Linked DNA regions of Oryzias latipes. The protein of the gene in region 1 purifies or fractionates together with the protein of each later gene. This does not show direct contact. Links are inferred from orthologs where the notes say so. Each region holds a gene or a part of one and is shown on either strand. Other genes may lie near its edges.

Region 1 (10,567 bases):
GGCAGACAAGGCAGAACCTTTATGGATAAAACATCATAGAAGAAATCTTTTTCAATAATAACTGCTTTCAATATCTCAAACTAGTCTTGGATGTATTTTTGTGTTTTCTTATTCACTTGTTTATTGTTTTTCTGCTTACTGTGCATTTAAAATAATGTCTGACATGTTTGAGTATGAACTTTGAATGTATTTTATTTTGTGAAGCAGCTTTCATTAAAAGATATTTATACTACAACAGATAATAAAAGTTGTGCTTGATAACTTTTTTGCATTCAGGGAGTTTAATTTCAAATGAGGCTTGTGACAGACCTAGGATACAGTAGTAAGATTCACCTCTCTTTAGTTCTGAGAAGCCCTTAACTCGGTTGAGCAAAAGAAAATGGATGGATAGTTTGATAAATGCTCACTATCTTCATACCATTCTCCTGGAATTTATCATACGACCCTAAAGAGGACACTTTTGACATCAGAGTTGAAGTTCTTTGGTTGCAAATTGGCTCAGCTGAACTAACGTCACCATGTTCTCACAGGCAAATTAGTGCTACTGGCTCTGGTGGAGGAGAGACACCTATGTAGCAAAAGCCTGAGGTAACAGTCATCCATCTGTAGTCTATTCGTTGTTTAAAAGATCTGTGTTTCTGCTAACCCTCACACTCTTGTGTTTCCTGTCATCTGTTCAGGTACAAACATCTAGTAGAGAGAGTGGCTGAAGAACACAAGGAGACCTACAGCAGGTCAGGCTTTTACTTTGAAAAACCACAACAGAATTACAAAGCAAACATAAAATTGTCTGAAAGCCTCCAAAATGTATCATCCAAGATTTTTGGGTCTGATCTAAAATCACTGAAAAGCCCCAGAAATAGTCTAAAATCCTTGGAGATGTCCTTGTTGTTCTCTGGTTCCATCCATCCACCTGCTCTTCCACCTCCAGGTTCTTCCTCTTTGGCTTTATGGCAGCTGGGGACTACATCAATGGATTTGTGATGGGGTGAGTTTTTGTCTTGTGTTAATCACCATCTTTGGTTGTACTTCTGTCAGTTGCTACACGTCCTGTTTTGTTGTCATCAGAGAGGTCACTGTGCCCTCTTTGATCGCGGTTAATCTGTCCAATGACGGCTACTACCAGCCAGCTGGTCCTGTGGAGACAGAGCGCCAGCTGCTGGATTTCCTGGACGGGGTTCTAGATGGTACCATTGAGGTGAGTTGATGCAGTTTTGGCCGGGGGCGGAAAACTTGGTCTGGTATCTGATCAGTTAATTGGATGTGCCTCAGATGAAGGGAGGAAACGGCTTCAGTCAGCGTGTCCAGCGCGTCATTTATGAAACAAAAGCCACAGTGATCGTAAGTGACATCATCATATCATTGCTGGTTGTTTGTCTGTGTTTGGCTAACCTCCTGTCCTCTGTTCATCCAGCCGGTGTTCAGAGATGCTCCACTGATTGGCTGCTTTCTGGCTGGCTTCCCACTTGCCATTGGTGCTTTCTTCTGTTTCCTCTGCTGTAGGAATCAAACCATCCCAGATGATGATGAGGACACCGCCGCACTGTTAGCCTCTTCAGTGCCACAACGCAAAAAAATAAAAAACAAGAAGTCAGACTGACAGTAAAGGTCAGAAGGGAAAAACAATGCAGATCCACCTCTACAAGTCAGAACCAAACTAGTCCTGACTACTGCTGAAGTAACAGAACCTCCACACAGGTTTCAATCTGCTGCCAAAAATGCCACATTTGAGTTGAACTTGATCCAGCAGAACTCAAATCTGTCTACTGATCCTTGCATGAGAAATAAAGGATTCTGATCCATCATGTATGTTCAGTTGAGTTCATGTCAAACTTTGCTGTGGGTTTGTAAGTCAAGACAACAATGATTTATTTCAAACCTAGCCTGATCTTCTTCAAATCACAGAAATCCAAAAGTTAAAAAACGGTGTGATGAAAATAAAATGGTTTCTGTCACTTTTTGAGGTTTATGTGCAAAACCCACAAACTTCCTTTGGATGTCACCCATTAAACAATGAAACCTTTAGTGTGATAATCCCATTCACCTGAGTTTACTCCCCCTACTAAAACAGCATTCTGAAAATACCAATTAAAATGTAATTGAATATGAAAGAAGGATGCTTTAAAAATTTGATTGCTTTTAGAGTTAAAATTTAAGTTTCCTTAAACAATCCCTTGATTTCCAGGACTAGTGGTACATCCAAGCCCCCACCAAACTCTCCCTAACCCTTGTGCTATCCTAGGCACTTTAACATTGGGAGTTGGGTCATTTAGACCCACTAGACAGTGCGCTGAACCTTTTTTCTTCAATGATTTGTGATCTTCACTGGTGTCCATGGATTACATGAAATCTTTCCACCTTTATCCACCTTTGTCATGGTAGGAAGAACACGTCAATGTAGGGGTGAGGTCATCTAAGGTAGCATAAGGGTTAAAAGATCAAATGTTCATATGTTTAGAGACTGGATTTTTGATTGCCAGGTGAGTGGACCCAGAAAAACCTCAAACTTTGGCTTGTTCCTTCCAAAAGCAGCTTGAGATGGGTGGAGTAAACTCTGCTGTGCAAAATCCAGTAGGTGACGTCACAGTTGATTGGCTAGTCCAGGAATCTGCAACCTTCAACTCTGAAGGAGCCATTTGGGTTTGTTCCTCACTGAACACAACCGAGTAGCAGCTATAAAGTCTTACTTCATCCTTGATAAAAATTTGAAACTGCTTTTCTGTTTGGTAAGGATCAAAATTAAGTATCAAGAATTCTTAAAAATGTAAAACTGTTTATTTATAACCCTTGTGCTAGCTTATGGGGTCAAGATGACAATTGCCGTGTTCTCCCTGCCATGACAAAGGTGGATAAAGGTGGAAAGATTTCATGTAATCCATGGACACCAGTGAAGATCACAAATCATTGAAGAAAAAAGGTTCAGCGCACTGTGTAGTGGGTCTAGATGACCCAACTCCCAACATTAAAGTGCCTAGGATAGCACAAGGGTTAAGTGTACTTTGGTAGGCTGTTATCCTTTTCTTTACTTACTATCCTATTGGTGTTAACCTGAATTTGATTTCATTGGTTTATATTATGATCCAATAGAAAATTGTATACATAGAAAAGGAACATTTAAATATTTTTAGCAACTCCCCTCTGGACAGCTACTAAACATCATTGTGCAGCACAAGTTAAAAGATGCTTTAAATTCATGAAATAAATATGGTAATGAAAGATCATACTTTTTATTTGTAATGAAAGTGTTACTTTGTAGGTACATTCTGGTATTCTGGAGGAATGATAGAGCAAACCAGTCCTCTAGTGCAATGTCAACAGTGCTAAACATTCACACAGTTTATCTTACTATTCTAGGTACGCCTCAGCACAATAACATAACCTCAACAAACTTAAATTGAATTAATGCTAATTAGCCATATGCTTCTCATTTCTATAATTATTTTTTTCTTCAGCTAGAGAGCCACAATGGAGGGTAAAGAGCCAACCTTCAACTCTGGGGTCTCAGGTTGCAGACCTGGTTTAGTCTGTATATGTTTTGTCACAGTGTTTACTGGTAAAGACACCTCATCATGAACATGAACAATGAAATCGGTCAGATACAATTTTTTATGGGTGAAATATTTTTAAAAACTGAACACACTTTTAGCAAAAAGTAGTCTTTAAGGTGTGCTACACAAATACTAAAGGTGAGGCAGTATTCTTTAAGTATACTTTTCATATTGTACACGTAAAATGTTCCAATTTAGTCTGAAGAAGTATTTAGTCAGTACACTTCATACACTATGCATACTAGGTCTATAGTATACTTGACACAGTATACTTACGTATACTTAATCCAATCAACTTTGAGTGGACTACTTTTTGATAAGGGAAAGGATACTACTGTAAGTCATGTAATTTCAGCTGATTATTAAAGATAACTACATTTAATTATAGTTAACTCTAAACTAGACTCAAGCAATTCTTTTTAGAGCTGTTTAAAATTAAAGAATTGACAACTTAAGAGAGTAAAATTTGAATTTTCTTAAGTCCATCAACTACCAAAAACAACAACACATAATTCAAAAATAACTCCAAATGACTCCAAAACTGCCAAAAACCTTCCCGCAAATGTCATAAATAAAAATAAAGCACTAAACAGCAAGAAGTTTATTTGAAAATATGTAATTTTGCCTTATTTTCTCCGTTGGAATCAACGGGAATTTGTTCCTTTTATCTGACACGAGACTTTTATTTTGGAGAGCGGAAAAGGCGTAATTTCACACAAGCTAACAGCTAACGGCAACGTCACGGGAGACCGAAGCGGAGCAGCCGGTAAACGGACGTACGCGGCTGCACGCGCACAGACTTTCAGACTTTCTTCATGTTGCTGCTGACGTAAAGAAGCTTCTGGAAGCTTTACGTGCACGAGCACGCTCTACATGGCCACGCAGGAGCTGTACGAGGTGACAAAAGCTAATGCTAATGCTAACCGTGAAGTTTAGGATGGTTGGCAGGTTTTTAAAGTTTATGCTGTGACGTCAGTATGCTAGGAGTAAAAAAAAACAACCCCTCTGATCGTTACTAGCTGACGTCACCGAACAACTCCTCCATGACGTTGACGTGTGTCCCACAGGTGGAGAGGATCCTGGACAGGAGAAGGAGCAGGAAGGGGAAGGTTGAGTACTTGGTCAGGTGGAGGGGCTATGGTGCAGAGAGTGACACCTGGGAGCCTGAGAGTCACCTGTCCACCTGTGTGAGTTACGTTCAAGAGTTCAATCGCCAGTATGCTGAGCGACAGAGGGAGGGGGCGTTGATGCGCTCCACCCGCAGCCTCGCCCATCGACCACAGTGTGGCCCGCCACCCAGTTCCCCTGCATCTGCTGACCTTAGCAGCGAGGTCAGCAGGGCCTGTGTCCAGGTGAGGACGCCCCTCAGTCCCACTCACCTGTCCTGCTCCGCCCCCTTAACCTCACCTGACAGGTTTACCCCCTGCGCCATCTCTGCCCCTCTGGGGGGCTTTGCACGCCGAGGGGTGGACCTTTCCAAGACGGGCATCAAGATCCTGGTTCCAAAGAGTCCGATGAACTGCCGCCCCGACTCAGAGGAGTCCCCCAGCGAGGCGGCGCACAGCTTGGAGGCGGGCACTCAGGAGGCTCACCTGGTTCCGCCAGAGGTCGCCCTGCTGGAGAAACCTGTAGTGCAGCTTGGCCCTGGGGAGGAAAGGGCTCGCATTGGAACCAGGCCCCGGACCCAGAATCCCCTCTCCCCGCCCCGGGCCCCCATCACACCTGCGGCTGTTCGCTCCCTCAGCAGCTCAGGTGAGTCATGTGGCAGTCACGTGGAGCTCACACCCACGGTTTTTCGAGCCGGAACTTGACCATATGAGAATTTTATTTAGAAACCCATTCCAGAGAGACTACTGAGATGAAAGTGGTGTTTTAAACATGTTGTTGTGGTATTTTTATGATGATGGAGAACAGGCTTTAGGAAATGAAACTTAAAATGATATTTCTTAATATTTCCTCAATCACACTGTTGTTAATCAGGAGACAAACAAGCTGTTTGAAAATGCCTGTGCCAGTGATACAAGTGTTACAATCAGCGAGCCACAAGCTTCCTGCTGTTCTCCGTTCTGATGCTTCCACGTGTAGACAAATAGATCCATCTTTGTCTTTGTTTTCCTCGTCTGAGCTGGCATCTGGCTCAAAACTGTACGGCTGATTATCCTCAATATTGCTCGCCATTTTGGTTGCAGCGGTCTGTAAGCTTTTGGGAGAGCGTGTAAACAAAGGGATGATGGGAAGTGAGGAAAGACTTACTCTGTGCGAACAGTCTTGCCCCCAACTCCCAGGTGACTTTCTAATCAACTCCTGCCGCTCTGCCCTAAAAAAAAGACATGGGTTTATTGGCTTTGGGTAAAACGGCATAATCCTCATAAAAAGACCACTAGGAACAATTTTACAAAAGATAATTGGAGTGGGACTTTAACAGGTCATTTACAACTCATTAACTAATAGTTTTTTTAAGAATTTGTTAACTAGCTAGAATGGATAGGAGTGGAACTTTACCTTTCATCCATGAAACCCCACATCTGATTTTGGCAACATTTTTAAACAAGCTTTGGTGGATATTTACAGTCTAACTTTTTCTTTATTAAAGACATAAAAGTCAGATCATCTCACAGGTAAGTTAACAAAAAACAAAAAAAACTTGTTTGCAAGAATCAACGAAAGCCCAGTTTTCTTTTATTCCTATCAATATTATTAGTGTTGGGTCCATCAAGTAGTTGAATGCATGCTAGGTCTTGGTTCTGGCGAAAGCCCGGCAAATTCACATGAGGCAGTTGAGGTGGTGAGATTCACGTCCCAAAGGTTTTAACTCGACTAAAACTTATTTAAGCTCTCGAGTCCTCAGAAAGACATTCTGAGGTTGGGAGCCGTGGATTTTCTTTTTCCCAGGTTTACACCAAAAATATCAACGTTTTGTGTATTTTACTTGGTTTGTTCTTTGGAAAACACACTGATCTATTTTGAAAGCGTTCCCAGTGGTCTTCTAACAATGATAGTGGAGTTTAAGCCAAAAAAAAAAAACAGTCATTTTCTTGGACATGGTTTCTGCAGAGTGGTCAGTAGATCATTAGAAAATTACCTCTGAGTTTTTAGGTGGGACCATTAACCCTCCACCATCCCTATCTGTTGTGGAAAAGAGTGGAGCAGGAAGCTTGTGGCTCTGGCTCAGCGTATTTTCTACGTCACAAATGAGCTCTTTTTCAAACACATTGTTCCAACCATCAGATTGATTTCATTTAATGCCCATTTGAGGCCATAAAAGTGGACCCAAGGCATACCACATAAGCTTCTTGGGTTCAGACGAAGGAAGTTCTCCGCTATCTAAGTTGAAATATCCAGGAAACAGGTGCCATGTCACCTGGAGAGATGGTCATAGATCCACATGAAGCTTAGTGTCATCAGCATAGCTGTAGAATTTTATGCTTATTCTCTTGATGAGAGTGGCAGATTGTTAAAGCAACAAAGAGAAGGCCCTAAAATAAAGCCTTGGGGTTCTCTACGTCAGTATGGTGTTTGGAAGAGCAGTTATTAGCAAACAAAAAACAAAGTCTTGTTGATACTCTTTTTGCCACACATCACACCTGAAATCCCGTTCTCTCTTTTCTACCCTCTTTTTCATCCTGGACAGTTGACCCTAAGTCCTCCACCTGTTTCACCTCTACTCCCTGGAACCTCCAAAACAAATACGATAGATCAGTGTTTTTCAACCAGTGTGCCGTGGGAGATGGTCAGGTGTGCCGTGGGAAATTGCTAAAACATTTCCCATCTCCAGGATATCAGCTCTTTATTCATCCAAACAGGCCCTGATAAAACACTGAGAAGTTAGGAATATAAAAGATCATAAAATACTTTTTCTTTGGGTTCATTTGATTACATTAAAGACATTTTGATAAGAATGACGGTGCCGCGATTTAGCCGTAGCTTCAGCTGTTTCCAGAAAAGTCCCGCCCCTTTAACTGTCTCCGCCAATCATTCTTGGAGGCTTAATCATACGTCATCAGTCTGACCAATCAGAAGTGGTTAAAGTATTCACTTCCTTGTTCCGATTCAGCTCATTAAGTTGCTTAGTTCTAACAAAAAGACCAGCTAAAGCTCATATTTAGCGGTGTAACTTTCCGCGGGATACGGTATCAGACCATGGAACAAGTGAACAAAACAATGAAGCTCAGAGACGCTAGTCTGTCTGGCGTTTGGTGGTTGTTCGCACTACATCTCCCATGAGGCATTGGGTTAAAGTGAAAGCGTCTCAGCGCACAATGAGTCTTCTTTTGACGTCTTGAAACCACAACGAATACACATCAGACAGTTTTTAAATCTTCTAATTTAACTTTTATTACATTTTTTAGAAAAAAAACCAACTGCAGCTTCCAGCTTTTTCTGCCACAATCATCACAAAAATGCATGTGAGATTGCAGAGGGACTGTAGATCAATACAGACTATGAGTTTCTCCTTTTTTTTTTTTTATGCTGGTGTGCCGCGGGATTTTTATCAGGGTTAAAGTGTGCCGTGGCTCAAAAAAGGTGGAAAAACACTGCGATAGATGAAGCTCTGGGCTTTTCTGATGGGAGTTTTCTTTCTCCAGCAGGAAACTCGCCGCTAATGGAGGCCGCCGCTGCCACCTTAATGTCAGACGTGGTCACTGGGGCAACAGGTGCAATGGGCAAACGGCGTCTGGAGGAACGCTCTGCCTTCGACAAGCGCCTGAGGTTTAGCGTTCGCCAAACGGAGAGCGCCTATCGATACCGTGACATCGTGGTGAAGAAGCAGGACGGCTTCACTCACATCCTGCTGTCCACCAAGAGCTCTGAGAACAACACGCTCAATCCTGAGGTAAGGCCACGCCTAAAGGCTCCTGCTTCAACACGGCACTGTGATGTCATTGACATCAGCAAGGGGCTGCAGAGACTCTAGAGCAGTTCACTGAACTACTCTCCCCTGTGGTGCTGATGTGTTCTCCACCAGGTGAACAGCAAGAAGGTCATGCAGCCTTATTATGCTATTTTATCCCAGAATGCATCAGGTTTGTCCCGATGCTTCCTCAGACAGCCTGCTCCTGTCAGTGACATCACTGGCCTCTGTTCTCTTGTCTTCAGGTAATGAAGGAGATCCAGAGCGCCATGGCAACGGCAGCATCAGATGACAGTAAGCTGGTGCTGCTCGGCGCCGTGGGGAGCGTCTTCTGCTGCGGCCTGGACTTCCTGTATTTCATTAGACGCCTGACGGACGACAGGAAGAAAGAGAGCATCAAGATGGCTGAAACCATCAGGTACCTTTTGTGGTGCGGCTTTGATGCTGTCGTTCGTCTGCTGCTATTACCCTCTGTCTTCTCTTCCTCAGGACCTTCGTCAATACTTTCATCCAGTTCAGGAAGCCTATTGTGGCTGCAGTGAACGGACCAGCTGTGGGGCTCGGAGCCGCCCTCCTGCCGCTCTGCGACGTGGTATGGGCCAACGAGAAAGCCTGGTTCCAGACGCCATACACGGCCTGCGGGCAGACACCAGACGGGTGCTCCACCTACACCTTCCCCCGCGTCATGGGTCTGGCCTCGGTCAGTCCTCCCATCCCTTTAGCCTGGCATGCCCTTTAACCTTTACCTTTGCTGATTTTGGTTCTGGTTCTGGTGCAGGCCAGCGAGTTGCTGCTGAGCGGCAGGAAGTTGACGGCTCAGGAAGCGGGCTCTAAAGGCCTGGTGTCACAGGTTCTGTGGCCGGCCACTTTCACGCAGGAAGTGATGCTGCGGGTCAAAGAGCTGGTAGCAGTGGACTCGCAGGTCTGTTCCTGTGTCGGGTTTCTGCAGGTTCAGCTGTAGGTCAACTCTGACTGTTGTTCTGCTCCCCATCTCGCAGGTTCTGCTGGAGTCCAAAGCCCTGATGAGGAGCAGCAGCCGCAGTGCTCTGGAGCAAGCCAACGAGCGCGAGTGTGAGGCTCTGAAGAGGGTGTGGGGGTCTTCGCAGGGGACTGACTCCATACTGCAGCACCTGCAGAGGAGAACTGAGCTCTGCTAGAACCTGGACCCGGCTAAATCTGGGCTCTTCTTTCCATGACCTGGATTCAGCCAGAACACTTGAGCTGAACTCTCCCACAGCTGACCCAGATGTTCCACCGGGTTCTGTCCAGGTTCTCTGTGGGTCCAGCTGGTGAGACCGGCAACAGATTGGGGGTTTGGATGGTGACTAAAACGGCAGTTTTAACAGAACTGGCCCAGTTCTGAAGGCCCTGAAGGACAAAGTCTGATCCAGAACAGGATTGATCCGTGACGGTCCGTTTCCTGATGTGAATTCTGTAGCAACAACAATGTTGGTTGTTTCATGTAAACAAGTTTGTGTCAGACGGCTCTGTATGGAGATCAGGTTCTTCAGTCAAAAGTTCTGAACCAGATTCTGGTCTGGACCTGATCCTACTTTTCTATTTGTATTAAAGTAAGAACAAACTTGAGCTCTATCCTGACTTTTATTGAAGCTGAGGGTCATAGGCTCAGGTGCTCAGCGTTTCCCCATCGGGCTTTGAACCCTCAAATCAAAATTGAGTTTAGTGGTCACGTGATCCTATGGAGCGTCTCCATCAAATGCAGCATGTGTGAGCCTTGTTTGTAACAACTGCACCAAGAAAACCTCTGGAACTGGCTTTAAAGTCTCAAAAAGTACTTTCTGTTCGGCCGTTTTTTGTGCATAGTGTCCATGTTGACAGACCAGCTCAGCTTGATGTCCAGATGGAGTCCAAGATACTTGTCGGGTGGCATCCTCCACACCTGCACCTTCAGTGGCAGTGCTGATGGGATGTAAAGCAGAGGGTGTCTGGCAAAGGTCCAGCACCATCTTCCTGGCTTTAGAGAGCTGGAGGTTGTTCTGCCATCTTCATTCCAACAAGTCCTGCACCAGGTTCCTGAGGCCAGAACATCAGGGGGGGCGGCAGCAGTTTGTCACAGTTAAAGAGAACCACTTCAGAGATGATCATCGAAGGAGAAATGTTTTTATTTGGTTTAAAGAAGAAGAATTGCAAAGCCTTTTGTTTAAGT
Region 2 (9,434 bases), about 3.7 Mb from region 1:
ATATTTTGTTTATTAAGACAAATGTTTTTCACAGTTGCAAGAGACAGCAAAAATATGTTTTGGTATTTTAAAAAACTACTTTCAAGCATTTTTTCCCCCTTAGTTTTTGTAGATTTGGTTTCAGGAAAATTAAATGTACGTGCAAATGCAAGATTTGGGGATTTTGATTGGGGTGCATTTAAAATTTGATGGCAGGGATGTAAAACGTCCTCCAATTCTGGAATGACCTGTGTGTTTACACACACAAAATACAAAAGACTGAATCAAGTTTGATTCATAAGGTTACCAACTTGACTTTGTATCAAATGCATAATAAAGGAAACCAATAGCCATTAAAACAATTTCACAACAACTTAAACATTCTGGTATTAACTAATGTAAAACTCTAGTGTTGGCCATGTTTCTATTGCTGTGCTTGAGTCTAAACTTTTGATTTTATATATTTAAATATAAAACTCAAAATCACATTTTGTCATTATTGTTTATTATTATCATCATTTTATATGTATTGATTGATTTATTGGGGTTTTAATTTTTCTTCATTTATTTATTTCAGGAAGTAATCCGGTAAAACTTTTTTCATATAATTTTTATTGAACTTCAAACAAACATATACACATAGATACAGATGAAAGAAATAAAAAAGAATAAATTACACATAAAATTATTTTAATAAAAACAATATAAAATAAAAATATAACATTAAAATTGTAGTTTACAATACTAGGGATTGTCATACAACATGTGATCTTCAATGAAAGATAATTGTATTGCGTTTTTTGTTATTTATTATGTTCAGAGATTTAAAATATAAACTGATCTCTTTTTGAAATTTATTGAGTAATGGGTTTGGTTTTTGAAAATCTGCTCTTATGAATGAAAAATTTCCCAGATATTAATAAAGTATTGAATGTCAAATCAAATAGATCATCACCAGAAACTACTCCAAATAATATGATGTGCTTTTGTAATTGAATAAAAATAGGAATAGGAAGTAATCCGCTTCATTTGAGCCGCATTGCTTTATGACTGTTGATACCGCAGGTAGGCGGAGCTTCACATCCGGGTGCTGAAGCTGACCCCTGACGTGACCCTGCAGGATTACAAACATGGCGGAGGTAAGAAAGTCTTATACATTTTCACTAAAATTATTTTCTTCTTGTGGGCGGCTGGTTCAGCCAGATTTACTCACACTCCCCTGCTGTAGCTTTTGAACACGACACGGAACGTCAGCGTTTTGTCTCGCTGGACGGGCGCCATTTTTTGGATCCAGACATGTTTGGTAAACTTTGAGCTTAGCTAACGTTAGCTGCGGCGTTAGCGACTATGTTCCGCGGTTTTTGTTTAAAAATAAATTATCAACAAAGGATTTCGTTTTTTCATAAACATAATTCTAAAAGTTTTTTTAAATAACTGTAATTTACGCGTTTTCTTTTCTTTTTCACCTGAAATCTATAAATAGCGAGCTTAAATTAGGAATGCTTTAGCAAAAAAACGAGTAAAGATTATTTAGCTTGCAAAAATTGTAATTTCAATTAGTATGAATAAAGTTTGTCAGCGCTTATTTCTAGAATATTCCTTATAGTTAAAGATGATGCATTTTTAAATTTTGGAATTTATTATAAATTTATATTTACTTATTTATCATATTTTGTCGGAAAAAGACGTGAAATTTATCGTTTTTTTCTTTTTTGTTGTTTCTGAGGTGTTGTAGGAATTTAATTGTACATTTATATTTTCTTATGCCACTTATATTAAACAAAACCCCGCCACACGAACCTGATTATGTAAAGCTGTTCAGCAGCGAACGGTTTCAGTTTCACATCCCATGAATTATTCATTTTATGCCTGTTTTTTTTTTAACCTTTAATACTTACATTTGAGATTTTTTGGTTTTTAAGATTTTGAGAGAGAGAGAGAGAGAGATTTATTTCGGTAATGTACAAACACAATCCTAAAACGTCAACATAAATGTTGAAGAAAATTTTACCTAAAGCAAATAATCCTCCTAATTTTTTGTTTTTTATTCCCACTTGTTACATGTTTGGCTCTTGTTTTGTTGTCATGTATTTTTTTATTCATGTTGTGTGTATTTCTGTCTTGTATTGTCTCATTCAGTACATCTTTGTGTTATGATGCCTGGATGTGTTCTGTAATGGTTTCATCTGTATTGAACTTTTTTATTTGACTAACTTTTCTTCCTTTTTTTCTCTCTAGCCTTCGCTGGGGAACTCGAGCCCAGGTACACATGGTACTAAATGCTTACACATAATTTGTAGAGGAATTTGTTTAAAAAAATAAAAAGTAAAAGCTGGTTTCCCCATCTTTGTTCTTATTTTAATGGTCTCTAAGGCATACATACATTCTGGGCTGTTTTGTTAATATTTAGGGTTACACAATATTTTGTTATGTCAAATTTCTAAAATTGGTATTATATATTGATAAATGACTTTTTGGTTCAAAAATGCTCCTTTGTTTCCTTTTTTTACTTGCACTTTCCAAGGAGGTTCAGCAGGTTCTGATGACCATGATTTTGACCCCACCGCTGAGATGCTGGTGCATGACTTTGATGATGAACGCACACTGGAGGAGGAAGAAAGGCTGGAGGCGACAGACGACACCAATGTTAATGAGATTGAAGACCTTGCACGGGTTTGTTTTATTTTAAATTGTAAGACCTTTTGCTAAATGTAATGTTATATTTCTGGTGGTATTTATTATAGTTATGAAAACCCTGTTTGTTTGTGTGTTTTTAACCTGATTTTTAAAATTTGTCTTTAATCTAGTGTGATATTTTTAATTGAAATAGTTACTTTTAACTTGTAACTAATAATGGGAATGATATATTATTCATGGATCTGATATATTTTTACATAAACGAACACATTTTCATTTCCCATCATTGTAATGCTGCGTTAACTCCAAACACGATTTGCGTCGGCCGCCTATGTTTGGAAGCGTGGCTTGTGGGAGGAGCTACCACCAAATGTTTTTGGCCTGATTGCTACAGGGAGCGGTGTCTGTGTGCATCTCATTTACGATGCATGGAAGACCCCACTTTGTCAAAGTTCAGAGATTTGAACTCTGGACGCAACACTCAAATGGCGCTGCTGCCGGACCGACGTGCCGCGCCCGATGCCCAAATCGCGCCACAGGGCCTCTGACAGCATTTGAATATTGATTTAACCTTGAAACTGGACGTCTTTATCACACCAATAACGTTTTTCCTCCTGGTCACAACCTTTAGGCTAATTTTAAAATTGAAAAAGTTCAATCTCTCCTAAAGAAAGATAGACAAACAACAAACTTGTTTTTTTCTATAAACTGAGGATTTAATAGATTCACATTGTGTCAGAGGGCAACTTTCATCACCATTCAATGTCTTACTGTGAATCAGTAATAATAGGAAGTGAACTAAACTCAGCTTTATTTTTAATAGGAAGGTGAGATGCCCATACATGAGCTGCTGAGCCTTTATGGCTATGGGGGTAGATCACCAGCAGAGGAGGAAGAGGAGGAGGAGGAAGAGGAGGAGGAAGAACCTGAGGATGAGGACGACGAGGAAGAGGACGAAGAGGAGGATCTTGATAACGATGAAAGCAGCAGAAGCACTGGGGAGCTGAAAAGAACTGAGGTAGTTTTTAGCTGTGGTCTCACTGGTTTGCGGATTTTTTTCAATGCAATTTAGTATGTTTTTTAATTTTTTTTAACAGCAGGTTGTGTCCTGCGTCCTGATTGGCTGTAGGCCTTTGCCAATCAATATCTTCTGTGCCGTGGCTCTATAATCTGTTCAGTTTGCCAAATTTACAATTTTGATCGCGAGCAGATCTCTTTCATTCCAAAATACTGGACTTATTTTTCTTTGAAAGTTTAAACTTTGAGAGTTTAAAAGAGAAAAATGTTAAATGAATAATTATGTCTGTCTTAGTAAAGTGTATAAAGTGTGTAGTGAGGGGTTATACTGCCTATGATTATATTCTAGGGTAACACTCGTGATGAACAAGTGACCACTGTCATAAGAAACTGTGATCTATTGAAGGAAGTATACAAATCACTCAGAGAGGCCTTATCTGATCAGACCAGAACATCTGAGAGAAAGTGGAGCAACTACCTCCCGTTTTTGACAGTTATAAGCCGTAAACTGTCCCGGGGCTCATACCCATGGAACCTCGGTGTCAAAAGGCTCGCCACTTGCTTGTTAAAACTTCTAAGGAAACTTACAGAATATTTTAAGATACCTTTAAGGTTTGTGTAAAATGCAAAAATGTGCCAGTGTGCAGAAAAACAAGTTATGAATGATTTACTTCGTATTTTAGACGGCCAAAACACAGAAAGCATGTTTTACTTCTGACAGGTCTTTAGTGTTGCTCTTCTCCTCCATTACTTTTACACTCTTCTTCCTCTCTAAGCCCTCTCTGTAAAAGAGCCTCCACCCTCACATGTACCACATGTTCACCATCATGGCCTGTGCGTCCTGCCTCTGTGCCCGTGTCATGGAAAACAGCGCATTGCTTTTCCGTAATAGATCTATAGATTAATGGCTGCAGACTGTTTCTTTGTTCCAGCAGCTCCTCAGTCCTGCAGCTTGTGTCTGGTTTCCTTTGTCTTAGGAAATCACTAATGGGTTGAGTTGGTCCAGGTTTGCCTTTCATTTCAATACTTTGTTGTAAATTTCTCCTTTTGTTTTCAGGGTGTTGAGGACTTTAAGACCTCGTCGGGACAGGGGAGTGACGCCCAGACCACTTCTGAAGTTCGCACGCGCTCAGTCAGGTCACTCGGCACAGCAGAGCTGATTCGCTCCCAGAAACTCAAGTACTTTGAAAGTACGTGTTTTCTGAAATCCTTCTCTTCTGCTTCCTGTTGCTGAAACCTCCTTTGCCCTGTAACTGAACACTGACTTGTTCTTCAGGTAATGATGCTGAGGAGGAGTCTGATGAAGATGAGGACTACGTTCCATCTGAAGACTGGAAAAAGGCATGTAAAAACGTCAACTAAGAAATGTTCAAATGGTGGCTGAACTAAAAGCCCACAGAATGACGAATGTGGCCCGCTCTCAATGTTTATTTATGTTACTATTTCTTCTCTTTTCTCAGGAAATCATGGTGGGTTCCATGTACCAGGCAGAGACGCCTGCTGGGTTGTGTAAATATAAAAACAATGAGAAAGGTATGAGAATTTCTCTCTGATTCGTCTCCAAAACAGCTTCAGTTAAAAAAGTAAATGTCTCAAATTTATAATTTTTTTTTCCTTCCTTTTTCTGATCTGATAGTTTATGAAAATGACGACCAGTTGTTGTGGAACCCTGAACGTCTCTCTGAGGGCAAAGTGGTGGAGTTTTTAACAGAAGCATCACGGCGGACGGGGGAGGAAAAGGGGGTGGATGCAATCCCTGAGGGATCCCATATCAAAGACAATGAACAGGTGAGTTGGATGCTTCCTGTAAATAAAACAGCTGGACGATGCTTTTTACTTGACTTTTCTTACGGTTTGTCGTTGTTCTGCCGTAGGCCTTGTATGAACTGGTGAAATGCGGCTTTGACACAGAGGAAGCTCTGAGAAGGCTGAGGTTTAACGTCAAAGCAGCCAGAGGTAAACACATCTGTTCTTGAATTCTTCCACATTTATACTTAGTGTTTTTCTTATTCAGCTGCAGCTGCTAATATTTGCTTCAGACCTGCACACATACAGTCAGGAAGCCTTCTCCATTTGAAGCCTTAAACATCTATATTTATGATAAACAGTGATACGATAAACGGCTATGGTTCAAAAGGTTTCTGAAAGCTGCTTCTGTTTTCTTCTGGAAGATGGCTGGAAACGTTGATCCCTGAGATATTTATCTACAAAAATCTCTAAATGGTGTATTTTATACATCAGTGGAATTAAAGTCCCACTCCAATGATCTATTTTAACAGCATCCCCAGTGGTCTTTTAATTATGATAATGCTGCTTTCAGCAAACCCCGCCCCCCTTCCCCTCCCCCGTTGCAGACCGGGGCAGGGAGCTTGTGGCCGTCCAGCACATTTTCGTCGCCATCACAACATTTTTCATCTGCTCCTGATTCACAACAATTGGAATAAAGAAATACTCAGAAATGCAAATTAAATCTTCATTTTCTTTATATATGGCCTCCATTATGAGAAAAATGCCACAAGAACATGTTTAAAAAGACACCCTTTTCATCGGAGCGGGACTTTTAAGATGATTTCATGAACGGCAATATGAGAAACTCTGCATCACTTCCTGCTTTTTCAAATTGGAGTTTCTTGCAGTAAACTTTTCAAAGTCATCGTTCATGGAGGAAATGCTGGCTGTGTTTTGTTTTGACGTGAACCGTTCTTTTCAACAGAGGAGATATCTGTGTGGACAGAAGAAGAATGTAGAAACTTTGAACAAGGACTTAAAGCTTATGGAAAAGACTTTCATTTAATACAGGCCAACAAGGTACGACTCAATTCAACCACATACAGTGTTTGCTACATAAGTGTTTGGCTTTAGAATAAGCAAATAAGAACTGTTTTCCTGTTCAAATGATGCTGATATTAATGATCCTTTTATGTCTGCTGAATTAAATCTTTCAGGTGAGAACTAGGTCTGTAGGAGAATGTGTGGCCTTTTATTACATGTGGAAGAAGTCTGAGCGTTATGATTTCTTTGCACAGCAAACCAGACTGGGAAAGCGGAAATATAACCTTCACCCCGGTGTCACGTAAGTTTTTGAGAGAGCATTCAAAAAAATGAAGAAATGCAAGTTTATCATCGGTTTAGATTTATGTTTTTATTTTTTTTAAATCAAGTTTAAAAGTTTTTAAAAAGCCTGGATGAACGAGGTTTTTTTTCTCCTTCTTTTCTACAGAGACTACATGGATCGATTACTGGATGAGACAGAGAGCGCGACGTCCAGCAGGGCGGCGTCGCCTCCTCCCACCACTTCTAGCAGCAGCACCAGCCACTCCGAGAAGGAGGATGGCAGCAGTCAGAACGGTGAGCCAACACTGCAACTTTCTTCTAAAGATGGGAATTTTCAGAGTGAAAAGCAAAAAAATCTCCTAAATAAAACAATCGTTTTACAAAAATAAAAGCCCCAGTCTAATTTAGGTCAGTTTATTTGTTCTAAAGTCCCACTCCGATCATCTGTTGATGTATTGTAAAAGCAATGTCAGTGGTCTTTTAGTTCTGATTGTGCAGTTTTTAGCCAAAACTCTCCTAGTTATTGTAGGACATAGTTTCTGTAGGAGTTCATCAGAAATTGGTGCGGACCAACCCCGCCCCCCCCTTCCAGTCACCCATAACTAAAAGCTCTGTTTACATGCTCTCTTCACACCCCCAGCCTAACATTACCGGTGGCGAGCAATATCAGAGCTATCCAGCCGTAGAGTTTTGAGGCAGACGTACATGGATCTAGTCGTCCACATGTGGACGCATCAGAATGGAGCGGAGCAGGGAGCACGTGGCCCCGCCCATTGTAGCTTCTACATCACACCTACAGGCTTTTTCCAAACTGCATTATTTTTGTCTACTCCTGATTCACAAGGATTTGAATTAAAAATATACTCAGAAATACAATTATAGGCTTAGTTTCGGTTATTTGTCCCTCATCATCAACTGAAAAATGCCATAAAAGCATTTGAAAAACACCTAAACCACAATTTTCATCAGAGAGATAATATTACATTTCTGTATCACAGCTTAGTTCCATCCAAAGCTGCAAAAACAACTTTTTTCCACTTTTTCTTAACAATAAGGTTCAGTTCTGTACTCTAAAGTGACCAAATAATGCGTGAAAACAATATCATTACAACAATAGAATTCACTTAACCAATCTGCTGCGATTTTTCCATCTATTTATTCTTTTATAGAGTTTTCTTCCCCACAGTAAATGAATATCATGCCCCATACAAGACACTGAAAATAACATTATCTGATAAAGTCTTTAGCTATTCTGAATGACCAATAGGCATTGAGCTTATAAAATCAGTCATTTTTCTACTTGCATTTTCTCGTGTAGTCATCTTTAAAACTTCTTTTATAAGGAATTTCACCTCTAGTTTTTATTGATGTCCTAGAAACATTGTTTTGTTTTATGCATCGCAGAAATCTAAATAAATATTTTTTTTGCTTTTTCCCCATGATGACATCATGTCTCCTCAGGCGATTAAAGAAAAGACGAGCTCCTCTTTACATCAACTGGGGTTTAATAACTATTTATGGAGGCTTTGGGAGGCTCTTTCTGTTAAATGAAGGGGACAAATGGCCCAAAAAATATTATTTTCTTCATAGTTTGCAAGAAGTTCCGAGAATACACAGTTAAATATTCTGTTCATCAATAAAGACTTAAAAATAAAAATAAAAATCGCTGCAAAAATGGCGCCATATCTTTTTATTTGAAGTAAAGCCAGTGGAAATAAAGTCAGAGGAATTGTTTGTAGTTTTTGTTCTTCCCTGTAAAAACGCTTTTTTTTGTCTTTTTTTTTTTGTCTTGACAGGTGTTACAAACCACCCAATAGATTCTTCTCAGTTGGTTCCGGTCAACCCAGTCAAACCTGAGGGCGTCCGGTCCAATGGTCCCTCTCAACCAGAGAGGGAAGCTCCTCCCCCAGTTCCAGACAACGACTCCAACGGCTGCAGCAAGCCAAGCGCTCCCAATCACGACAGAAACGGTTCCGTGGACTCGGTAGCAGAACACGCGGCAGAGGTCGCACACGAAAGGCCGGCCAAGAAGTGCCGGACAGAGGCCGAGCCCCTGAGCCAAAGCGAAGTGGAACCATCCAGAGCACACGAGAAATGACATGTTCATCTGTTGGCTGAGGAGAACCGGAACAAACTCATTCCGGCGTCTTTTACCGGGGAAACAGGAAGACGGAGCGGAGCGTCTGATGAGAACAAGCAGTTGGAAGATCTCTAAGAGAAGAGTGGAGTACACGGCTGGATTGAATTGCCCCCCACTCCTGAACTACCACAGAGAAATCATGGACTAATAGACATCTTCTATCCATCTGTTCCATTCTTTTAGAGACTGATAACATTTTGCCAAGAATTTTGCTTTTCTATTTGTAAAATAGATCACCTGTGATATTTTTTTACACAAGATATTTATATTTTTTAACCAAATAAAATCTAATAATGGGTCTTTGTTCAAGCCATTGTTTTATTGTCATGAATTATTAAAGTTGGACATGCTATGAAGCTTGCGTGTGAGATGCCAAAAAACAAAAAAAACAATGCTAAATTGGCAAAAACCCTGAGCTGGTGACTTCACCGGCAGATGTAGTTGCACTTTGACAGCATGTTTCTCGTTTTTACCGATAAAGAGCAACCCCAGCGGACATGCCTTCTCACTCTTCCCTTTTCTGTCACAGCTGTTTGTTGTTGATGATGAGTAAGCCGGGCAGTTGCGCCCCCCGCAGGTTTTTGTGTAAAGCAGCTGACATCTGTGA
Region 3 (9,855 bases), on another chromosome or scaffold:
GTTTAAAGATTGGAATATTCTGAAAAATGTGCAGCCCTCACATGTTATATCTCACTAATTTAAAGTTATTCTGGTTAACCTAAATAAAAAATGTTTTGGAAAACCACTGAATTCTGCAGGATGTGAGCTTAAACATAGAGAGATAAGTATCAAAAATGTAAAAAATATAATAAAATATAATATGTAGAATATCATCATCATGGTGCATACTTGAGAATATTACAGTTCAGTTTCTTCAATTTAAAATTCAAATAAGGTTCATATATTTGTGTATATTTGTCTGTTTATTTGTCTTCAGTCATTTTTCACATTTGTGTTGCTAAAAATGTTTTTTAAACACACATTTGTCAAAACATTTTGAAAATTTGACTATAACTACCGGTAAGTATTTTATTTTAAACTGATTTAAACATTTTTTTTGAAACAGTTGCATTTTAAATGTAGTTCAAATATGTGCATTTTACAGGTTTATTAAATCCTCAGTGCAGCTGTATGAAACTGTAAACCAGACCTCTCTGAGTCCTGTGTTAGGATCGCTTTCTGCAGCGCCGCCCTGCTGGGTCCTGGTGGAAGTGCGCTCGGGCAGACCGGCTTCCCATTCGGCATGCAGAGCGACGGCCCCACGCTGTCCACTCCCTCCTCTCCTGGAGGGGTGGTGGCGGCGGTTACGGTCGCTGCAACGGGCGCCGACTGCGGCGGCTGCTCCACGGTCAGCGTGAAGAAGCCGTGGCTTTGCATCCGAGCGCTGATGAAGAAAAACACAAAGCATCAATAGAAACCACACTTTCACAAGCAAAGGCAGCCATAAGGTCATCTGAGCTCACCTAACGGGTCTTTCCGGCATCTTCTCGTCCTTCGTGCCTCCTGTGGAGGCGTTGAGGGAGGGTCCCGAAGGGGCAGTCGGGGGCAGCGATGGCGTGGTGGTGGAGGAGGCGGACATGGTGACGACTGTGGCGGCTGAGGTTGCGGCGGCGCTGGAGGAGGGGAGGGTGATCTCCTGAGCTTCTGAGGCATCTTCCCCACAGTGGGGGCAGAAAATCATCCCGCCGCCGTTGGCTCTGCTGCGCCCGCTGCTCAGCACGGTCACGCAGCCGCGGTGGAAACGGTGGGCGATGCGCTGGTCAGGACAGCACTCTAGGAACGTCCCCTGCAAAAGAAGAATTAAAAATATATAAATGAAGAGAATGGACCAAACCTGACCAGGTTTGAGGTGGACAGACAAAAGAAAAACATCCTCTGAAAATACAGAAAAATTAAAAACAGGATTAAGCAGAGTCTAAAGAGATGAGGAGAAATATATGAAAAATGAAGATTTAAAACAATCATACAAAGAGGAAAACCGACGGATTTCTAACTCGCCACAAACAGACCAAATATTTCAAACATCTGTTCCTCCTCACACTTACTGCTATGCAGAAGTAGCCACACCCTGGGCAACAGTGGTGCTTGACCATGTGTGAGCGATGGACGTCGCAGAGCACCATGAGGGAGACCCGGCTGGATGGTCGCATGGTCTCACCTTTCACGGTCCAGCTGGTGCACGCCCGCAGCTGAAACGCCACGGAAAGGTGGGACATTTATGTCAAACATAAAAATCCTTTATTTTAAGGAAAAAACTTCCAAGTTTGAGCTGTCTGATGAACTTTTGCGTTTCATTTCTCCATCAGTTTTATTTTTTGTTGGATTTGTTATTTAAGAGACGAGGGTTGGTTCCCCGACCTCTCCGTTGAGGCTTTCCGTGGCCATGCACTGTCTGCTGATGCGCTGGCAGCTGCTGTCGATTCGAGGAGCCTCCATCCTGCAGCTGCACAGGGGGAGCTCCTCCAGCCTCTCCGTGTCGCCGGCGTCGCTTCCTTCTGCAGGGAAGATGGAGGAGAAACCCACCAAGATCTGAACATGTGTCCTTTCGATTGTCGTAAAAAGCACAAACACAAAATGCTTCAAGACTCATTTTGGAGAAAATGTTTGCTTATTTCTGAAGCTCACTTTAAATGTTGAAGTTTAAAGTGATTTTAAACTTCAACCGCTCATGCGGTTTTATTACCTCCATGAGCTACACCCCCTTCCCACCCCACCCTGAAAAAACACTTGTTTAAAAAGCTTTTATGTGGGTTTTATCTCCATAGCAACCATTATATGTTTGATCTTCTGGGGTGACGAACAGCTCTGTGTCATTTTTAGACAAATCTGCAAAAGTAAACTTGAATTTCCTTGGCAACTGAGGTTTTTTGTTAACCACGCCCACATTCCTAGTGTGTTTATTTTGCATGCTATAGCGTTTCATTCTTCTTGAGCCGACAGTTCTTGAATTAAATGTTCACAATATTCCAGTAAAAATTGTGCAAACAAGAGATGACATTCCCTCTTGCGAGCTCGCCGCGCTAACGCCGTTCAAACGCGAAGCTACCCAATGGTGGTCGAGGAGTTAGGATTGAAATCCCTAAATTTGTAGCTGGTACCAAAGGTGATGTATCATTGTTTTCATTTAAGACGGCAGCCTCTACTCGAGGTCAGAGGTCAACAAAAATGTAGTTGTAGACTAAACCCACCAGGAGGAGGGGAAAGAGTTAGACTGTCGGCAGCTGCGATGTCCAGGTCACCCAAAGGAACCTCGGTGTATTCGTCTGCTTGTTCTTCTGAAGACCAACAGAAGAGCAGAGCAGTCAGGAGATATGAGAGGATCAACACAACAATAATTCCTACAGTAAAATCATTTATCCTCTCCTTTTAATGCAAAACAGTTGTGCATCTTGAAGATATTTTTTTAAGATTTGTTTAAAAACAGTGTTTTTAACATGTTCTTGTGGCATTTTTTTCTCATAATGGGGACACATTTAATGAAAATTAAGTATTTCTTCATTTGAATCGTTGTGAAACAGGAGCAGACGGAAAAAAAAGTCTCTGATTTGAATCAGGATCATAGTTTGAAGTAGAAAATGTACTGGGCGGGCTCCCAGCTCTCAGCAACGGGGAGGAGAAGGGAAGGGGGGCGGCGTTGCTCCGTGCTGACAGTCCCGCCCACAACTCAGAGGTAAATTTTTGATGAATTATCTCCAAAAAGCAGCCAAATTATAATTAAAAGACCACTGGGAACACTTTGACAATTAATCAAAAGATGATTGCAGTGGGACTTTATAGCCTTGGTGGAACTTAAGTTTCACTTTAATAACGTTCTTTATGGTCCATAAGCACAAACAACAGGACTGATTATGAAACCGCGCTGCGCAGAAAAGACCACTCACCGTCCTCCATCTCCACCAAGTCAACCGAGCTTCTCTTTTTGTCTCGACCTGACAGTAACCACGAAGACTCTTCGCCCTCATTCAAGACGGTTTTTGGTGTTTCCGACTCCAAACGCTGAAAATCACAAGTTATTTAAGTAGATAAACGCACACTGGCATGCATTATCATTATCATTCTGCTCCCCTGGACTAAGTCTAACAGCTCCTGGTTTTTACTTCAATGGGTTGTGGAACTAAAGTTTAAAAGTTTGCAGTTTGACACTGAAATATCTTTCAAAATAAAGATTTGATGGTGTAAATTTGTTCCATCATTGGTGGGAAACCTGAAAAAAATTAAGAAAGGGTCAAAAACTAATTTGACTACTCAACCAATCCTAACGCTCCTCTAGAGTCATCAAATATCTTGATGTAAAGACAAACTGGAAATCTGAAATGTAAAAGATTTTTTGAAACTTAAATAAAAAAATTACAATCAATAACTCCGAAATTTTTCATCAGAAGTCTTTCTGGTTTCTGGATTTTCACGTTTTCTACACTTTTTTTGTGTTTATGGCAGACTGTTAGGGTTTATGATTCTGAATTTACCATTGTCATCAAACAACAATAAATAAAACAGATATGATGACCGTGAACCATCAATTAGATCCCCTTACTATGGAGCCTTGGACATAAAAAAAAGATAAATTATTCCCCCAAGTCAATCGTTAGTAGCCACAAATGAGTATTTTATTAGCATGTTGTGAGTGCGAACTACTAATATGTGACCACATGTTAATACAATGATAAGTTGTGACCATGTAGTACTAATTTGTGAGCACAAAATACTCATTTGTGATGAAAAAAAACTAAGTTGTGCCCAAAAAAATACAAATTTTTGACCATTAAGTATTAATTAGTGCCAACAAAACATTAATTAGTTCCAACAAAACACTAATGTGTGAGCTCAAAATACTAATTATTGCCCACTAAATACTAATATGTGACTACTGAATACTGATTTGTGAGCACAAAATACTAACTTGTAAGCACAAAATACTCATATGTGACTACAAAATACTTGTTTGAAAACACAAAATACTAGTTTGTAAGAAAGAAAATACTATAATGTGACACAAAGTGCTAACAAAATAAAATATTTAATGGCCACAAAGTACTATTTTGTGCACACAAATACAAATTGGTGCACCCAAAATACTAGTTGTCACAAATTATTAATTTGAGAGAATAATTGTTTTATGTTGTTTTCAGTGCTCTATTCCTTTCAGCTGTTGCAATTTGTAAATGTTGCATTAAAAACACAACTGTTTGCATTTTTTGAGTTTAAATTTACTCACGTGATCCTCCGTGTCATTAGCGCGCTCACTCGCATCGACGCCGTTTTGAAACTGATCAAAACGAAAAGGACAAAAGTTAATTTTTATAAAAACAGAGAAACCAGATGTTTAATTAAAAGGACGAGGTTTTAGGAGAATGCATCAAAGCTTCACACGTTTCCAGAATCTTGTGCTGATGAAGTGGAGCTCTGGCTCTGTTCTCCTTCATCCCTGGTCTTCCTCACGCAGCTTTTGCTTTTCGCCAAAGCAGTTTCCACCTTTTTATGAAACAACGTCTCCTCCTGCATTTCAAATCGACAATACACGTCAACCCACCAATAAAAACGGAGACTTTTACTTAAGGAAGGGGGAAAACCACTAACTTACAGTTGGAGAATAATCTGGAATGTTTTCACAGCTGCTGCCTGATACATGACCCAGCTTCCTCTTTTTTAAGGCCACTATAAACATAAAGAAACATGAATGTAATGAAACAGGTGGGTTTATTTTAACTCAAGGTAAACCAAAGCTTTTAAATGTTACTGACAGCTTTCGGGCTCAGAGGTGAGGCAGGGCGATCCTGACGGGGTCTGGGATGCTGAAGCAACTTCACCAGACCCAGTGTTCTAAAAAAGAAAAACATGAAACAAACAAACAAAAAAAAAGTCACAAAAATGTTTACTAAAAAGCAGCTATTTAAACCAACTCTTCAGTCTTCTTTTACCAGCCCAAACGGGGGTCTGTTCATGGTCTTGCGGGCCCGGTGGATCTTAGGTGGGCTGGGAGAAACAGACGGGGAGACAGACGTCGAGGCGGCGAAGGGAGGAGAGGATGGAGCAAGTGGAGGAGAGGATTTACTCCCGGTGGGGACACAAACGCTCATCTTTGCTCGGCCAGGGGACAACGTTAAAGGTGCGGAGGACGCCAGTGATGAAGAGGCAGAGGTAGGAGACTTGGCTTCGTGTCCTGTGAGACAAATGAGAAAAGCTTTTATCGATGACAAAATCCAACAATTGTATATTCTTGTTTTAGAGTAATGAACGATGCACTAACAAAAGAGCACTTTGTATAAATGTTACTGTATCTGTCACAGTATCCATCTAGTGTATATAACTCCTAAATGCCTGTTGATGCAAAAACACATTGAACCACTTCTGCTCCAAAATTTCTTTAATTTAGCATCAGCTTGAAAGCAGAAAAAAATATTAAACTTTTTAATAGCTGGAAATAAATTCAGGCATGAAGGGGATAATACATAAAAAAGCCACATGAATTTTATTTCAATGTATTCAATGATTGAATATTAATCCCATAAAGAGGCTAAAATATAAAATTTGGGTTCAAAATCAAGTTCACAGCCTGATAACTTTATCATTACAGGTTTTTGGGGGCCTTTTATAGATTTTTTTGTCAACCTTTTTTTTCTGGACATTTTGATTATTTTTCATTTTGAATAGAAAAAATAATACAGATTAAGCTAATTTCATTTCATTAATTTTCTTTTAGAAGTGAACAATTTGCTTTAGTAATTAAGCAGAATTCAGCATCATCTATGACCAGTTTTTCAGATTCACATATACACTTGGACAGGAAATGCAAGTTTTTGACCAAGTTACATAAATTCCTTTAGATCTATTTTCCAGATAAAAGAAATTACCGATTTACAAGGACCAGGTGAAATCAGGAGGAAGCGTATTCTCACCTGCTGCAGGTTTATTTGATGGTGCATGGATCAGAGTATCTTCATCCTCTGCAACACTGCCACCCTCACTCTGTGTTTGCTGGCATGACAGCGGTGACTGCACCGCCTCAGTGGGCATCGCTTTCTCAGCATCATCAGGCGTGGGGAGGTCTTCATCGTCTGGTATGCACACAAGCATGAGCCATAAAAGAAGAACAGTCACACACAGAAAATCTTAAACATGAATTTTATAAAGTGAAATCATCAAAGTTCCAAACCTACCTTGGCTTACTTGACTTGGTTTTGCTATTGGCTTGTTGGATGTTTCTGTATCAACATTTTTTGAGTCATCCTATCAAAGAAAAGACCAGTAAAGAGATTTTCAGAAACCGAAACCATGGATATTCAATAAAGTTCATTGTGTCTATAAGATTAACTGACTCCTTGGGTTATTTTTTTTTTATCAGACATGGTTTGTGTTTTGTCAGGACCCTAAATATTTGGACACAGACACATTTTTTTCTAATTTAGTTTCTGTAAATTACCACAGTGAATTTTAAATCAAACAACTCAGATGCCATTGAAGTGCAGACTTTCAGCTTTTATTCCATGGGTTGAACAAAAAGACTCCATAAAAATGTGAAAAACTAAAGCATTTTTTAAACACGATCCCTTCTTTTCATGGGCTCGTAAGTAATTGGACAAATGAAATGGTCATTACTAATATTTGGCTTAAAATCCTTTGTTGGCAATGACAGCCTGAAGTCTTGAACTCATGGACATCACGAGATGCTGGATTTTCTCCTTCTGAATGTTCTGCCAGGCCTTTACTGCAGCGGCTTTCAGTTGCTGTTTGTTTGTGGGCCTTTCTGTCTGAAGTTTAGTCTTCAACAAGTGAAATGCTGCTCAATTGGGTTAAGATCAGGCGACTGACTTGGCCATTCAAGAATATTCCACTTCTTTGCTTTAATAAACTCCTGAGTTGCTTTGGCTGTATGTTTTGGGTCGTTGTCCATCTGGATTATGAAACGCCACCCAATCAGTTTGGCTGCATTCACCTGGATCTGCGCAGACAGTCTGTCTCTGAACACCTCAGAATTCATTAGGCTGCTACTGTCCTGTGTCACGTCATCAATAAACACTAGTGTCCCAGTGCCACTAGCAGTCAAGCATGCACAGACCATCACACTGCCTCCATCGTGTTTTACTGATGATGTAGTGAGCTTTGGATCATGAGCTTCTCCACGCCTTCGCCATACTTTTCTCTTGCCATCATTCTGTTAGAGGTTGATTTTGGTTTCATCCAAAGAATGTTTTTCCAGAACTGTGCTGGCTTTTTTAGATGCTTTTTAGCAAAGTCCAATCTAGCCTTCCTATTCTTGAGGATTATGAGTGGCTTGCATCTTGCAGTGTACCCTCTGTATCTACTTTCATGCACTCTTCTTTTTATGGTAGACTTGGATATTGATACGCCTACCTCCTGGAGAGTGTTGTTCACTTGGTTGGCTGTTGTGAACGGGTTCTTCTTCACCATGGAAATGATTCTGCAATCATCCACCACTGTTGTCTTCCGTGGCCGTCCAGGTCTTTTTGCGTTACTGAGTTCACCAGTGCTTTCTTTTTTTCTCAGGATGTACCACACTGTTGATTTTTCCACTCCTAATACTGTAGCAATTTCTCGCATTGTTTTTTTCTGTTTTCCCAGCTTAATGATGGCTCCTTTCACCTGCATGGAGAGCTCCTTTGACCGCATGTTGTCTGTTCACAGCAAACTCTTCAAAATGCAAGCACGAGTCCTCTAATCAACTCCAGGCCTTTTATCTGCTTCACTCATAATGACATAACAAGGGAATTGCCCACACCTGCCCATGCAATAGCATGGAAGTCAGTTGTCCAATAACTTATTAGCCCATGAAATGAAGGGATTGTGTTCAAAAAATGCTTTAGTTTTTCACATTTTTATGCAATCTTTTTGTTCAACCCATGGAATAAAAGCTGAACGTCTGCACTTCAATGGCATCTAAGTGGTTTTATTTAAAATTCACTGTGGTAATGTACAAAAACTAAATTAGAAAGAATTTGTCTATGTCCAAATATTTATGTTCCTGAATGTACCTGACACGTTTCGGCGGAATCACTTCTGCCTTCATCAGACTCGTTATCAGGTGGTGGTGTTGTGACAGGTGGAGCAGAGGAAATACCATTATTATAAATAACAGTATTTCCTCTGCTCCACCTGTCACATCCCCACCACCTGATCACGACTCAGATGCCGCCAAAACATGTCAGGTATGTGAAAAAACACAAAACGTGTCTGATTAAAAGAAAAAATAACCCAAGAAGTCATGCATTTACTGCAGTTTATCACGAGGTGATGGACTCTGAGAAAACAGCTAGTAAAAAAAACACATATTTTTTACACTGATAGGAAACTATTTGTTGAAAAAAAAATGTTTTTTTCAATTGATGTTGCCAGAAAAAAACACTAGTAATAATAATATTTTCTCCACATAAATCAATGCTTTACTCCTAAATCTTTGCTGAGGATAAAACTAAGTATGTAGGATGGCAATCTGCTTTAGTTACTTAAATACCATCTAACAATTATATTTAAAAAATGATGACACAAAAGATTGATCTAAAAACTTAAGACTTTCTTTTCAAATTTCACCTCCCGGCGATGCTAACTCCTATATTCCCGGTTGCCATGTCAACCAGCCCATAACAAGAGATATCCAGCTTTCTCTTTCACACAAATATAAACACAAAAATCATTTAAAAATATATATTTCTTAAATACAAATTAATTTTCGTGCACTTTGTTTTCTATTTTAAACGATGAACTTAGCGTACAGAACAACAAGAACGAACTCCGTGATAAATAGTGGAATAATTTAAAACATTAAAAAAATATATTTAAAGGGTTGAATGTGTAGCAAATAGTCATAAATGGGAGTCAAGTGTAGGAATTAATGTTGACTAAATACTCATTTATAACTGTTACATGCTAGCACTGCTAGCATCCTAACACTGCTTACAAGACAATAATTCTTATCTATACATACACAAATACGCTAACGGTATGCGGGATTCTTGTGTTTCATTATGTCCAATAAACTAATGCGCATTTGTATGTAAAAATAGAATAGAAAGGCGTAAAAAGGGCTCGTAAACCCGTTTTGCAGTTGCTACCTTTGTCGTTGTGTGGGACGCCGACATGTTTCCCCGAAGCACGTCGGCTGAACGTGCTACGTCACAGCTCCAGCCCCGCCCCTTCGAAGCACACTGATTCCGAATCACTGATCAGAAACCAGTGTACGTGCTCGTGGCTCGTGGCCGTTTTCCACAAAAAGTTGCGCGTGGAAACCGATTCGAAGTCGGTTTCGTATGTCAAACTGGCGGTCTGTGATTCATTGTGATGAATTTCACTCTCTACGGAGAAACGAGGCGATAGAAGTAAACACAAAAAATCGAGGGCAGTAGCACAGCAGCGGCCACGAGATGAGATCATGTTGTCAGCAGTGTGCCTTCGGAGTTGATTCTTCTGTTTGAGACGCTACAAATCACCGAACACCACGAGACAAAGGTACGTATAGAAATAAGCGCAAAGTTTCCAAAA

The links.
Region 2: the proteins of cdyl (region 1) and mier1 purify together in Homo sapiens (co-immunoprecipitation; 3 studies listed by BioGRID and IntAct, counting the BioPlex papers as one, with this or other methods). This does not show direct contact. The link is inferred for Oryzias latipes from reciprocal best matches to the Homo sapiens genes CDYL and MIER1.
Region 3: the proteins of cdyl (region 1) and ehmt2 purify together in Homo sapiens (affinity purification with mass spectrometry; 4 studies listed by BioGRID and IntAct, with this or other methods). This does not show direct contact. The link is inferred for Oryzias latipes from reciprocal best matches to the Homo sapiens genes CDYL and EHMT2.

Annotation. Positions count from the first base shown.
Region 1 is NC_019875.2:12,881,047-12,891,613, forward strand, and holds cdyl (chromodomain Y-like protein), read left to right. Parts: upstream 1-4,125; 5' UTR 4,126-4,421; coding exon 4,422-4,445; intron 4,446-4,615; coding exon 4,616-5,300; intron 5,301-5,801; exon of another isoform or gene 5,802-5,865; intron 5,866-8,134; coding exon 8,135-8,382; intron 8,383-8,645; coding exon 8,646-8,818; intron 8,819-8,889; coding exon 8,890-9,100; intron 9,101-9,178; coding exon 9,179-9,322; intron 9,323-9,398; coding exon 9,399-9,557; 3' UTR 9,558-9,993; downstream 9,994-10,567. Other genes in the region: protein disulfide-isomerase TMX3-like, read left to right, coding at 531-588, 681-734, 932-988, 1,069-1,198, 1,273-1,341, 1,415-1,600.
Region 2 is NC_019875.2:16,593,399-16,602,832, forward strand, and holds the start of mier1 (mesoderm induction early response protein 1), read left to right. Parts: upstream 1-1,079; 5' UTR 1,080-1,109; coding exon 1,110-1,118; intron 1,119-1,154; exon of another isoform or gene 1,155-1,282; intron 1,283-2,217; coding exon 2,218-2,251; intron 2,252-2,503; coding exon 2,504-2,652; intron 2,653-3,439; coding exon 3,440-3,634; intron 3,635-4,690; coding exon 4,691-4,823; intron 4,824-4,909; coding exon 4,910-4,974; intron 4,975-5,093; coding exon 5,094-5,166; intron 5,167-5,269; coding exon 5,270-5,421; intron 5,422-5,507; coding exon 5,508-5,589; intron 5,590-6,346; coding exon 6,347-6,441; intron 6,442-6,578; coding exon 6,579-6,706; intron 6,707-6,853; coding exon 6,854-6,981; intron 6,982-8,483; coding exon 8,484-8,785; 3' UTR 8,786-9,434. UniProt on the Homo sapiens protein: Transcriptional repressor regulating the expression of a number of genes including SP1 target genes. Probably functions through recruitment of HDAC1 a histone deacetylase involved in chromatin silencing.
Region 3 is NC_019869.2:5,425,189-5,435,043, forward strand, and holds the start of ehmt2 (histone-lysine N-methyltransferase EHMT2), read right to left. Parts: upstream 9,502-9,855; 5' UTR 9,456-9,501; coding exon 9,429-9,455; intron 6,589-9,428; coding exon 6,519-6,588; intron 6,417-6,518; coding exon 6,258-6,416; intron 5,522-6,257; coding exon 5,280-5,521; intron 5,182-5,279; coding exon 5,103-5,181; intron 5,017-5,102; coding exon 4,943-5,016; intron 4,858-4,942; coding exon 4,732-4,857; intron 4,628-4,731; coding exon 4,577-4,627; intron 3,358-4,576; coding exon 3,243-3,357; intron 2,637-3,242; coding exon 2,550-2,636; intron 1,857-2,549; coding exon 1,720-1,856; intron 1,551-1,719; coding exon 1,407-1,550; intron 1,148-1,406; coding exon 825-1,147; intron 746-824; coding exon 512-745; intron 1-511. UniProt on the Homo sapiens protein: Histone methyltransferase that specifically mono- and dimethylates 'Lys-9' of histone H3 (H3K9me1 and H3K9me2, respectively) in euchromatin.